3 linked regions of the Drosophila melanogaster genome follow. The protein of the gene in region 1 purifies or fractionates together with the protein of each later gene. This does not show direct contact. Each region holds a gene or a part of one and is shown on either strand. Other genes may lie near its edges.

Region 1 (4,279 bases):
TAAACTGTGCCCAAACTAAAGTTAAACTTAAGTTCGACAGAATTTTTTATTTTCAAAGCGGAAAAGCGACAAATTTAACACAACATTCTATCGCCTTGTCCAAGGTATCGGCTCCAGCTTGTACCTGTGGAAGACGCACGTCATTCTGGAGGCAGTGCGTCCGCGGGAGGACAAGTACGTCCGCAAGACGATCCACCTGTGCGGCGAGGCCTTCTGCCAGCTGTTCCTCTCGTTCGTGTTCACCAGCCTGCGCACCTTGTACGGCACCGCCCAGTCCATCGTACTGATGTCCGCCCTGCTGGTGAACCTCATCCCGCTGAGCCTGATCATTACCAAGCATCGCGAGGATGCCTTCACCACGAAGCGGATATCGGTGATCAAGGCGGAAACGGGATTCGCTGCACTGCCGCTGCGAGCCGCACTGGCGGCCAACTTGGTGGCGGACCAGCTGGACGGATTGGACACGCTCTCATGGCGGAATCCGGCCACCACCGAAATGGCCACGCCCAGTGGTGCCGTCGCCGCCGCTGTGGTGGTGGACACGCACAGCAACTACATGCTGGCCACCGATGAGGCGTATGTGACGTATGTGAATCCCAACGGGGTGGAGATTATGGAGATCATACCCGAGGAGGACGAGACGGTGTCCATGATGCGGTCGAGCAATGCGACCATCGACAATTATGCCATGTCCGCCTCGCAGATGTCGCACAAGTCCCTGTCCAATGGACGTCTCTATCCACTGACGCCCCAGCATCCTTTGGGCACAGGAACGGGAACTGGTACAGGTAGCTCCTCACCCCTACCTCCCGATTATGCCAACCTGGTGAGTAGTGCGCAGGCTTTGTGGAATATGGTGACCGGATGTGAAACCTTTCCGTATGCTCCTCATTTTCAGCGCCGCATCCGGCGGATGTCGCGTGCGGTAACCACGCACCTGTGGTGGAATCTGCTGGACAAGATCGCCATGCCGCTGCAGCAGGCGCTGCTGGTGCCGCAGCTGTACGCCACCACGCTGCTCCTCTCGGCGGACATCTTTAGCTACGTGATGTGCCTGACGGTGCTACCCGGACTGGCGGTCAGCCACCATGCGCTGAAGAACGCCGAGATCCCGTTCCTCTTCTCGCTGCTGGCCTTCCCATGGATGTGCTTCTCCCTGATGACTCCGCGCTTCGGCACGAGCCTCTATAAGCGGAAGCTCCAGTGGCACACGCTGGGCAGCATCTGCAAGTGCCTGGCGCTGATCTGTGAGTCATGATACCCGTTTCAAGCTTTCCCCGGGCCATCAATAGATCCATCTTTTGTTTCGCTTCCAGTCATCAGCTTCTCCACCTCCAAGCTGCTGCTCAGTGTGTCCGCCGTGCTGCTGGGATTTGGCCAGGTGGTGACCGCCTTTCTGCAGGAGCTGGTCTTCCAGATGGGCATGACGCGGGCCAACTGGACGGCCATCCGCCGTCCGGTGCACTTCACCAACGGCCTGCTGGTTCTCCTCTGGGGCGCGCTGGCCCACTGGGTGGTGGAGCGGTACTCCTTCCAGGCCACCGTGGGACTGGCCGGCGCCCTTTACGGAACTACCACGCTGCTCTGGAACTTCCTCTTCTTCTGCTGCCAGAGCAAGGATTGAGGGACTGAAGAATTCGCGCACTCTCACACAACAAGGCATCGTGTATGTGTGTGTGTGTGTGTGCTGCTGTGGCTGACGTTGTTGTTGTATTTGTGCAGTGATATTAATAAATAAATATATAAACTATAAGCAAGCTACATACATTTTAACATAAGTCTTAAAAGTCTTATTACGTCAATTTGAAAAAAGAATGGAATGCTGGCCTTTAAAATATCCCTAAAGAACTGCTACAGAAGTAGCTATAGCCTTTTAGCTATTTTTCCATTAAGCTGTGCTGACTACTGTACTTTGGAAATGTGGACAGTTTTTTTCCGATTAAAATAAGTTTAAAAGTATAAAATGTTGCGTTCATTCTAGAGATTGGTTCAATTTTTTAGAAATCTGTCGCACACTAAAAAAAATGCATGTTCTTACAAAATTCGCTGTGTAAGAAATATTGAAAATATTGAAATATTATTGGAAAATATTGACGAAAAATTTCCCTTTTCACCGAATTTGTCGTATTTTTACAGTAAGACTAAATGCCGTTATTTCCTCAGATATTTCTAGGTAATTACATTCGCTGCGTGACGAAAGCTGCCTGCTATGATGCGGCAGCCAGACCCAACACTGTTGGCCGATATCGATTGGTTTGGTATTATAGAGCAATATCTTGTACGGTCATACTAAGGCACCAGTACGCCAAAACCGAAATTTTCTTTCTTTACTCAATTTTCATCGAGCTAAGTTGCGAAAATTTTCTCAAGTCACAGTGAAAAGTGTACATTGTTTAAAACCTGGCCAAGGGGTAAGTGTTTGTTGCAAGGCGCTTGTGGTGTGGCACTCAGTGCGGTGCAATAGCAGCGTCGGCATTTTCCGGCGGCCGCAGAAGTGGCACCAAGCAAAGACGGCGAAAAACAGCGAAAAATGCGCAAAATCGGGCTTCCTTTTTGCCGGCTCGTTTTCCTTTTTTGCTTATTCTTCTTCTTGCGATTCTTGAAAGCGAATGCGTGTGGAAAAATAATTTCTGATTAAATTTCAATTTGCAGCTAAAAGTAGCGAAAGCGGTAGCGAACACACGCATGTCGCTGCCTCCCGAGGACACCGATTTGTCCACAAATTCCGCATACGAATCCGCACTCCAAATCGCGAGCAATGTGTCGGCAGCACGAGTAGTCGGTTCGGCAGTAGGACAGCGATTTTCGCCGTCGCCAGCAGCTCACCCGAACGTGATTGAGCGCGTCGCGTCTCATGTGGACTCACGCCGCAGCACGTTTCCAAGTTGGGGTAATCCGTCAGTAGCGCCAAGAGGATCGGAAGAAGCAGCAGCCAACGCCACAGCAACACAACTCCTATGGGCGGAGAACCAAGGTCTCCCGACATCGCACTTATTGCCAACTGAACAGGCATTCGAGACATTGAACACTAATGCGTATTGTTCCCCGCCAGGGGATTCACGATTTACGTTCCCTAGCCAGAACTACTCGCCGCTGCTGCCGCGGTGTGTCCCAGTTCCGAATCAGCGTTACTCTCCAGATGGATCGCCAATACATCAACTCCATGAGCTGCAAAATTGTCCATTGATAGATTCGCCGATAAGACTGCGATTTCCATCCCCCTTGCCAGAACCACCATCACTACCGACCATCACCCTTACAGTTGATGCCCTGATCGATCTTGACCAAAACAACCAGGTCGCATATTATGTCCAGCAGTACAACAATCAGCCAGTCCTATATCAACAAAACATTCATATAGGAACGGGAATCCAACTATGCGATCAGGCCTCCGAGAATAATCAACCGATTATATTACATATCGTGGAGCACAATCCCCAGACTATAACTGAGAGCCAGGAGCAATTCCACCAGGTTGTCCCCGAAATTCAAATCAATAATATCCAGGAGCAAGATCAGAAATTTGAAAATGGCATCTCGGAACAAAATCATCCGATTGCAACTGAGGCTCAGGATCAGACTTTAACTGAGATCCGGGATGAAAACCAGATTGTCCTTGCAGTCCAAGAAAAAAATCTCACGCGTGCCTCTGAGATTCAGGACCAGAACCAACAGACATTAACCGAGATCCCAGAGAAATGTCTTCAGATTGCATCTCCTGTCACTACTGATATACAGGTACAAAGTCCTCAGGTTGTAATAGAGATCCAGGAGCAAAATCACCAGTCTGTAACGGAGATCCAGGAGGAAGTTCACCAGACTGCCCCCGAAATCCAAGTGAACGTTTTCCAGACCTCGTCTGATATTCAAGGGCAAAATCACCAGATTGTAACTGAAGAGCAAAATCATCAGACTATAACCGAGACCCAGGAGGATTACTCGGCTGTCTCCGAAATCCAATGGGAAAATCTCTCGTTTTCTGCTGAGATTCAGGAGCAAAACCAGCAGATCGTAACCGAAGTTACGAAGCTTGCATCTCCTTCTGTTACTGATATACAGGCACAAAGTCCTCAGTCCGTAATCGAGATCCAGGATGACGATGATGAAGATCTAAAGTTCGAATCTGATGATCTGCACACTATACCTGAAATCCAGGAGAAAAACCAACAAAGTCCTCAGTTCGTAATCGAGATCCATTATGATAATGAAGATCTAAAGTTCGCATCTGATAATCAGGAGCAAGATCAACAAACAGCCGAGCTCCAAAAGGAAAGGTTCC
Region 2 (4,279 bases), on another chromosome or scaffold:
TTCGGTATGTCATCGACCGACGCCAAACGTACAAAAGCTCTGGGCATGAGGCGGTTACTGGATATAGTCACCGCCTCCACGGGAGCTACCTTCTCAAAAAAGGTTTTTAAGTCGTCCTTGGTAATATTAGGTCCAATCAGGCCAACCACCACCGTGCGTTCGTTGTTCTCTTCCTTATTTCTCGGTTGGGACACAGACAAAACATTGTCTCCAAGGGTTAACGCTTTAGGCTTAGCCTGCAGAACAGCTTCTGCTCCAGTTGACGTATCAAAGGCAATGAGAACTGATTTATTGCCATTCAAATTAGTGAAACGCTGCAAAGCGGAAAGTCGTCCGAACTTGGCGAACAATGCGACCAAGTCCTTGTGGAGATACTCTATGTGGAACAAATATACTAAGTTTAAATATACTTGAAAAATGAAATAATAAACCAGTTACTTTACCGTTTGGTAGGTTTGTGACAAAAACGATCTGGTTTTTTGGCGTTCCCAGCGGAATCTTGCCAACCTTTACTTTTGGAATTCCTCTATTTTCTTCGGACTTTTCAGAGTTGGCTTTTTCTGATTTCTTGGAAACTGGCTTCTCTACAGGCGCTTCTTCATCATCATCGGATTCATCTACCTCATCCGCGCCTTCACTTTTGGAAACCTCACCAGGCTCCAACTCATCGTCATCATCATCTTCCTCATCGTCACTATTGTACTCTTCATCTTCCTCAGCCTCGTCGTCAATTAAGCCCGCTGCCTCTTCGGTCTGAAAAGTAGACAATTTTCTTATAACCGCTGATGGGAGAGCACCAATAAAGACAATTTTTTTTTTATCGATATATGAACCGAGTCGGTATAAAACCAGAGGATCGTGGGTTATGTGCACTCGTCTTATAATTATAAAATCTTTACAACCACGTGGCAAAGAAAACGTAAAATGGATTCTTATCCATGCAGATCTATATATACGTGCATACTATGCATGTAATGTTAGCCATATCCATTCAGAAGACCACGTTTTTTTTATAGCTTACCTCAAAGTCGCTGTCGTCCCCTGGCTGCTCGTCATTTTGCTCCTCCACATCAGACTCGTCCTCTTCACTGAACTGCGGCACTTCTTTAACAGGCTGTTTTCTGGATTTTTTGGAAGGCGATTGGGGGACTACTGTCTCCTCTTCCTGTACCTTTGTGGACTTGGTTACCCGTTTGGCCAAAGGCTTTTCCTCTCCATTCGTAGCTTTTTTTCCTTTGACGGTGACGGCTTTCTTTTGGGCCATTTTGACAGCTTTTAGAGGTTTTCTGGGCAAAATTAGCAAAGTCAAGTTTGGACTGAACAACGCGTGGTTTCGTTCAATAAAATGCACGTGGAAAAGAGGGACAGAACAGTGTGACCGTTGTGCTCTATCGGTGCTAAGGCTGATTAAATAAAGTATTTTAGAGACTTCAATCTCATTTTTATAGCTCTATTCCACTACTAAATATGGTTTAAAGTCCGTTCATGCACATGTATACATATAAAAATAATAAAAGCCTTTAAAAAATAAAATAAATATTAAACAGTTTATATAAAGTATTTATTTAAGACTTAGGATACAATCTATGATTAGATATTTACCAACGGTCTGATTTTACATGTGTTTATACATTCCAAATGGTAAGTTTCCTCAATCATCAGCTATGAATCATCTGTTTCTAAAGGAATTTATAATATATATATTATATTTCATTAAAAAGCCAAGTCAACCTGCAGTTGCATTTTATCTTAGTAGGAAACTTAATGTTAATTCAAGCAATTGTTAATGGTATTGAAAGAAAAATTATTAAAAGTCACTTACTATGGGCCAGGGCACACTTAGGAAATATAAATAGGTGCCAAAAATGCAAAATAAATATTAATTATAGGCTGCGATTATGGTACGACCAAACATATATCGGTTTGTTCGCACTGAATTGAAATACCAGAGAAGTACATAATTTGTTAGTATGTAATATTCCCTGGTATTTTTCCAATGACTGTCAAGCAGTGCTGGTAAATGGCGGAACAAGTATACACATAAAAAATTAAATTGCAGCACAAGTCCCGCAACGCACACATATATTTATTTAACGGAGTTCCAATTAAGCAGGAACAGCAGAAAAGCAGAATAACAAGCATAACCGCCAAATAACATAATGAACGGTGGTGGTGGAGGAAGTGGAGGAGCAAATGTGAGCAATGGCTCCAGCACCAATGTAACAGCTGCCGGGAGCACTGGGGGCGGAAGCGCAGGCGACGAGACTGGTGGAGATGCCAGCTCCAGACGCCAGGCGACTCGGGTGTTTAAGAAGAGCTCCTCCAACGGCAAGATAACAGTTTACCTTGGCAAACGGGACTTCGTCGACCATGTCACGCACGTGGATCCCATTGACGGTGTTGTCTTCATTGATCCAGAGTACGTAAAGGACCGTAAGGTTTTTGGCCAGGTGCTTGCCGCCTTTCGGTACGGACGTGAAGACCTAGATGTTTTGGGATTAACGTTCCGTAAGGACCTGTATCTGGCGCATGAGCAGATCTATCCGCCCATGCAGCTGGACCGCCCGATGACCCGGCTTCAGGAAAGGTTAATTAAAAAGCTGGGGCCGAACGCCCATCCGTTTTATTTTGAGGTTCCGCCCTATTGCCCAGCCTCTGTGTCCTTGCAGCCGGCTCCTGGAGATGTGGGCAAGTCTTGCGGAGTAGACTACGAGCTGAAGGCCTTTGTGGGTGAGTCTTTGTGGGTCTGATCTTGTGGGTGTGTCCGTATACGGTGGTCAGTCAAAGTCAAAATCATTGATATTTCGCAGTGTGGCACATACCGTGTTTATTATATATGTTGCAATACATTAAATTTACAAATTTACAAATTTTTCTTTTTTCTTTACAAATTTTTCTTTTACCTTAGAGCAGTTAAATTGCGGGTACTATTGTTTCTGAGAATAAAATAATTTATTAAGAATATGGTTACAGTAGCAAAACTAGCTTTGTTCTTTTCTATAGAAGTTAGACTGTAAATTTCTTATATGTGTGGTTTTGTGTAAGTTAGCGCGTGCATCACGCGGTTGGGAACACAGGGTTAATCAATCCAACTACGTCGGGCTGATGACGCAGCGTTCACCTAATTGAAATTCGACACTTCTAATTGGAATTTGAATCAACCGAAGTTGCAGCGCAGTTAATGCTGTTGTTCGCCTTAACCAGGCGCCGCAGTTGGCGGTCTGACGATTTGTGTGCCAACAGCAAAGATCTTACATAGTTTCAAAATGTTTATTTGTTTAGTTTCTAATCTGTATTTAATAATTAAAAAAAGGTTTAAAGAATTTGTGCTTTATTTTATTAGTAGAAAGGTTTTTGGTTTCTGTAAATTTTAAATTTTTCATATTTTCGTACGATCGCCGAGCTCCACTCGCATATATATTATGTGCCCGTGGCACCCCCTTAATACATTCTCTGTTCAATAAATATTATTACCTATTGCCCTATTTTGTTTACACATTTTTGTGCTTTTATAGTTTCTGTTGGAATTTTATTATTATTCAGCAGCCAAATTGTTTACTGTTATAAACAGAGATTAATAAAATAGCAGCAATTGGCGTGTTGTTGGGTAAAAGAGTTTATAACAAGAACTTAATATTTATTTTTTCTGTATATAAGCCCAAATTCAATTTAAGAATAAAAACAACAATGTTGGAATTTGTACAGTTGGAAGAAACGATTTCTCAGTGCTTCTCTGCTTCCCCTCATGACAATTGAGTCAGCATTTTTATTTACTTTGCGTCTGTTCAATTGTGTATCTAATGTTCCTAGCTTTTATGTTTTTGGGATAACCAATTATATATATTTATGCGTATTTTTAAAGCAATGCTATTGATGATCAATTAAATGAATGTATATGCATATATATGAATAATATATATATATATATATATATATATATATATCCATATGTAAATGCCAGTAATTGTCGGCTTGTGATTAAACATCGTGGAATTCTATACATGATAGACTCAACATCAACGACAAATTTTGTAACGAATCGGACTACTGACACACCCGAGCGTCATGGGTTTTCTTCAACAAACATACATACATTGATGCCATTATTCATAATGTTTATCACTAATAGGTGAGAACGTGGAGGACAAACCCCACAAGCGGAACTCGGTGCGACTAACTATTCGCAAAGTCATGTACGCACCATCCAAAGTCGGTGAGCAGCCATCGATCGAAGTAAGCAAGGAGTTTATGATGAAGCCAAACAAGATCCATTTGGAAG
Region 3 (4,279 bases), on another chromosome or scaffold:
GCGCACCTGCGACACCACGGCTGCCGACGCTGGGAATCCGCCGACGGGCTCTGTCTTGATCCGCTGGGCTGATGGAGCTGCTGTGGGTGCTGCGTTCGTAATACTTTCATGTTGCTGCTGTTGTTGCTGCTTCTGATGCTGCTGGATGGCCAGTTGGTAGCTGACAAACTGCTGCTGCTCCTGCTGGTGCTGGTCCTGTAGCTGCAGTTGCATTTGTCGCTGCTGCGGCGTCTGCAGCAGCTCGAAGTGCTCCTGTTGGCCGCCGGATGGCGGAACTCCTAGGCCCACGCTCGTGGTCGTCGCTGTTAGTGGAGGCGGAACCTGGAGGCAGAACTGCGCCTGACTAGATTGTTCCGTTTTTATAAGCAGCTGGTTGGCGGAATAGTAAACCATTTTGGTTGTGGCTGAATCTGGAAGAGGGCGAAAAAGAAGGAGCCGCATTAGATTTTTGACCATAGTTAACTAGTTTGATACCTGACCAAAATAGTTGGTTCTAAATAGACTTAAGTAATAATACAAGAAATTATAAATTAGATACTGCTTATTAGTTATATTAGCAACCTATTGTTTGGTTTTTGTGGTTCTACAAAGCCAGCTTAACCATAGTATAAGGTCTAACTCCTTTGCCCCCCATCAATTCACAATCTGCGTCTCAGGAAAAACACGGAAGCAGATAGAAAGTGCAATACGGGTGGTTAGGAAAAGTCTCGTAAGAGCCAAAGGAAAAAAGGGCGTAAAGGGGAAAACCCACCCCGTGAATTTGTGCTACGCACTTTCTGTTATTGCCGGCCGGGGTTTTCCAAAATAAGGAAAACCTAGCGAGAGCTTATGGGGGGAGGAAAAGCGAAGGCGCAGGAGAGTGAGAGCCAGAGGAAATGGGAAAAATTTCATTGAGAACCCTGCCTCGAAAATGTCCCACTTGGGATATTTGGGAGATAGCATTACGAATCGTACGGTTTCCAACCGGCATTTCCCGTTGCCATCCTGCTCGCTCGCACTTTCTGTATCAGTCGCGCTGTTGTATTTTTTTTTTTTTTTGTTATGATAGTATGAACGAACCCCACAACTTCCCCCAAAACAAAAATTGCGTATACCAAAACAAAATGGCGTCGTGAGGGAACTTTTTCGGTCTGAATTTTTAGGAAAAGCATCTCAATTACCTTTCGCCGGCGATTTTTTGACGGCAACAGCCTTTGCGGGACTCTTGGATATATCGAGCAGTTCCGTGCCCGATTTCTTGAGAACATCCTTAATCCAAATTTGTTTGGGTGCCCAAGATTTTGTATCATTCTTGCTTTCAGTCATCTTGCTACTGCTCCATACAGGTTTTCCTCCTAATAATACTTTTTGATTGTTCAAGTCAAATCATTCAATTGTAAGCAAGTCTAATTTATAATATAGTTTATAAGTTTGAAGAGATCTTTTCTTATTCAATGTGTATACTTGTAAATTTATTCATTGATTTGAGTTTACAAAATCAGACTTTAGCGCTGAACTCGTGTCAGTTTTTCAGTATCAGTCCCTCGATTTGTATATCAGCAGTCTTAAGATTTATTCATTCATTTAGCTCGTCTCATGACATTTTTAGACAAGGATTTTCATTTGACGCGTGATTTTCTCCTTGATCAGGTTCTTCTTGATGATTTTGATGATTTTCTTCAAGTCCTTCGACTGTTGCACGGGATAGGTGTGTTGGTAGTGTTGCATATTTTGCGGAGGCTGCTGTTGGTGCTGATGATTGCGGTATTGGTGGTGCTGACCGCCCTGGCCCGAGCCCTTGTTCATACGCATTTTTCTGAATGATCTCAAAATATCGTTCATTGAAAAGTCGGTCATTTTCGAGGTGTGGACCACACACACACACACACACACAAGCACACGCACACGCACAACACCCGTACAAACAACACTTAACGGAGTAGAATGGGATTCAGATTATGTTCACATCGCCGCTCCCGAGGTTTTCGGTTCGATGGTGTAACGGAGACTGGTGGGTGAGTTCCCGAAAAATCTGCCTCAAACCCTGTCACGGAAAAATCAACCACCACCAACAAGAATGGTCCCATTGGATCTGAAATTTCCCTCAATTGGAAAATGTTTGAGTGCGATGACAAGGGAAATTTTCGAGTGTTTCTTTTTTTTTTGAGTTTGAGTGGTTTCGGACTTTTCCGATGACATTCTCTTTTATGGAGCACCAAAATTTCCCCGAGCTCAGGGAAATTTCATTGGTATCTAAGTTATCTGCGACGTTTATTATTTCAGACTAATTGAAAATATGTACATATACAAGCATTGAATAAACTTTGAACTCTGAAGTGATTTCATTTAAGTGATGTAATTAGTTGGGTTTTCATTGATAAGATTCTAGCATTTGAGTCATAAATGCAACGAATTAGGCAATAAGTTCTGATAGTTCTTATCGCAGTCTTATAGTTATTATTCTTTAAAGTACCAAAGTCCAACTTGCTTGCCACACTTAGCATACCAATTAACTAACAATTGCGGCAACTATACGTTTAGAGGCTACAAAATCTCAGGGATATATTTTGAGCAGTCCATCTATAGAAAGCCAACGACCAGTTTCCACCTTCAACAAGCGAACATTTATAAGAAACCCTCCCAAAAAACAGAATGAGCACGAGAAGCAAATGTTGAAATACAAAAGTTTCGGTGAAGGCAGGTTCAAAAAACTTTATCGGCTTTCGTTGTTATTGTGTCTGAATGTTTATTCGGCTGGCTGTGCGTTAAACTAGCGCAAAAGTTCATTAACATTCGACACAAAAACTATTTTTGAGTGAGTGCGGTGTTGTTGGAGGGCAGAGAATGATCACCGATCCCCCGATCCCCCGATTCGTGCGCTCGTGCTCTTTTGGGTTGCCCGACCAAAAAGTTTCTGAAGGTATGAACGACACAATATTTTTTGAGGGGGAAAGACACAATTATCTCTTATGAGTTGCTTCCCAAAACGGGGGGCAGCTAGAATGGGAAAAACGAGGGGAGGGGATTCAGCTGCGGTTCGGAAAAGTTAAAGTGCCGTTATTTTGTTGGGATAGCTCTGAAATAAAGCGACTTAAAACTGGTCTTTAATGGAAGTGATCGCCGTGTTTGGATAGATCAGTAAAGTTGCTTGGCGGTCAGTATGAAAGCTAGATACAAACAGATACCAGATTGAACGTGAAACGCTCAAACGAAACTAAACTAAACTAAAAGAAGTATTTATATTAAAATTATAATTAAATTCACTTCGGTTCACTTCCAAAAATACACCCTATTTACACATGCATAGCTATTTTACACGTGGAGATACATACGCAGAGATACAGATACATAAATTGAGTTGGTTTGGATTCGGTGTTGCTTTTTGGTGTCTTCTTTGTGGACTTTTGATGGGGTCATTGAACACTTAAATATAAGCAAATTGTAAGCTTTTCACTTCGCTTCCCCCCTCGAATCGGATTTTTTTATAAAATTACTTCTGCTCCCGTCGAGAGTATCTATTCCAACCGGAGGATCGCGTTAACATTTCACATACATATTCTAGCTAAGGTTCGATGAGCCCCGATAAGATAAGGCAATATAACACGACACGTTCGCCGTTTTTCAATTCATAGGATGTCCCTCAATGAAATTGTACGCTAAAGTTAGGGCTCTAGGCAGACTTATCAAACGAGAACTATCAACAGCGATAAGATATTGAAATTAAGCGAATGAAATTGGAGTGACTGGAAATTCCATGGTGGGGAATATGGCCGGAAGGATTGAAAATTCCAGTCTAAAGCACAATTATTAACCTTCGACTATTAAGGCTCAAATTATGAACATACTAAATGTTTTAAAATATATAGATATTCTTTTTTGAAAACGTGTACTTGTTATATATTTTTGAAAACAAAGTCAGTTTACTATAGAATCTTTGCATATGAAACATGAGAGAACGAGAGCTGTACGAACGACTGAACGAAATATGCCAGATTTAGAAATTTTAGCATTCTACTTTGGTGTTGTATTTATATAGCGAAGGTCTAGACACGAAGTCTGAGCTTAGGCTGCGCAGCTGCTGCTCTGCCGCCGCTCTGTCGACGCCTCTGCCGCAGTGTGCGTCGCCGCTGCCACGCACAAATTGCGTGGGCGAAGTGGTTGGGTTGGCCTAGGTCAAAAAGCAAAGACACGCACTCAGGCAGGCAGCGAGTATTACAGTTACGATGAGCGAGAACGCATACTATAGTCGCAAGGGTTGATGTACAAAGAATGGTGTCGGGGGGAGCTTCATAATCGCTAA

What was found.
Region 2: the proteins of Ulp1 (region 1) and krz purify together in Drosophila melanogaster (affinity purification with western blotting; 2 studies listed by BioGRID, with this or other methods). This does not show direct contact.
Region 3: the proteins of Ulp1 (region 1) and Kr-h1 purify together in Drosophila melanogaster (affinity purification with western blotting, with the first as the bait; one study listed by BioGRID). This does not show direct contact.

The regions. Positions count from the first base shown.
Region 1 is NC_004354.4:19,206,166-19,210,444, reverse strand, and holds the start of Ulp1 (Ulp1), read left to right. Parts: upstream 1-2,257; 5' UTR 2,258-2,411; intron 2,412-2,652; 5' UTR 2,653-2,685; coding exon 2,686-4,279. Other genes in the region: CG14195 (uncharacterized protein), read left to right, coding at 105-826, 899-1,247, 1,317-1,624.
Region 2 is NT_033777.3:32,049,720-32,053,998, reverse strand, and holds the start of krz (kurtz), read left to right. Parts: upstream 1-2,005; 5' UTR 2,006-2,159; coding exon 2,160-2,730; intron 2,731-4,129; coding exon 4,130-4,279. Other genes in the region: mod (modulo), read right to left, coding at 1-376, 444-753, 1,022-1,264.
Region 3 is NT_033779.5:6,089,126-6,093,404, reverse strand, and holds the start of Kr-h1 (kruppel homolog 1), read right to left. Parts: upstream 1,994-4,279; 5' UTR 1,837-1,993; coding exon of another isoform or gene 1,585-1,836; 5' UTR 1,306-1,584; coding exon 1,161-1,305; intron 411-1,160; coding exon 1-410. Other genes in the region: CG45075 (uncharacterized protein), read right to left, coding at 1,585-1,836. UniProt on the Drosophila melanogaster protein: Plays a general role in the hierarchies of gene expression leading to metamorphosis.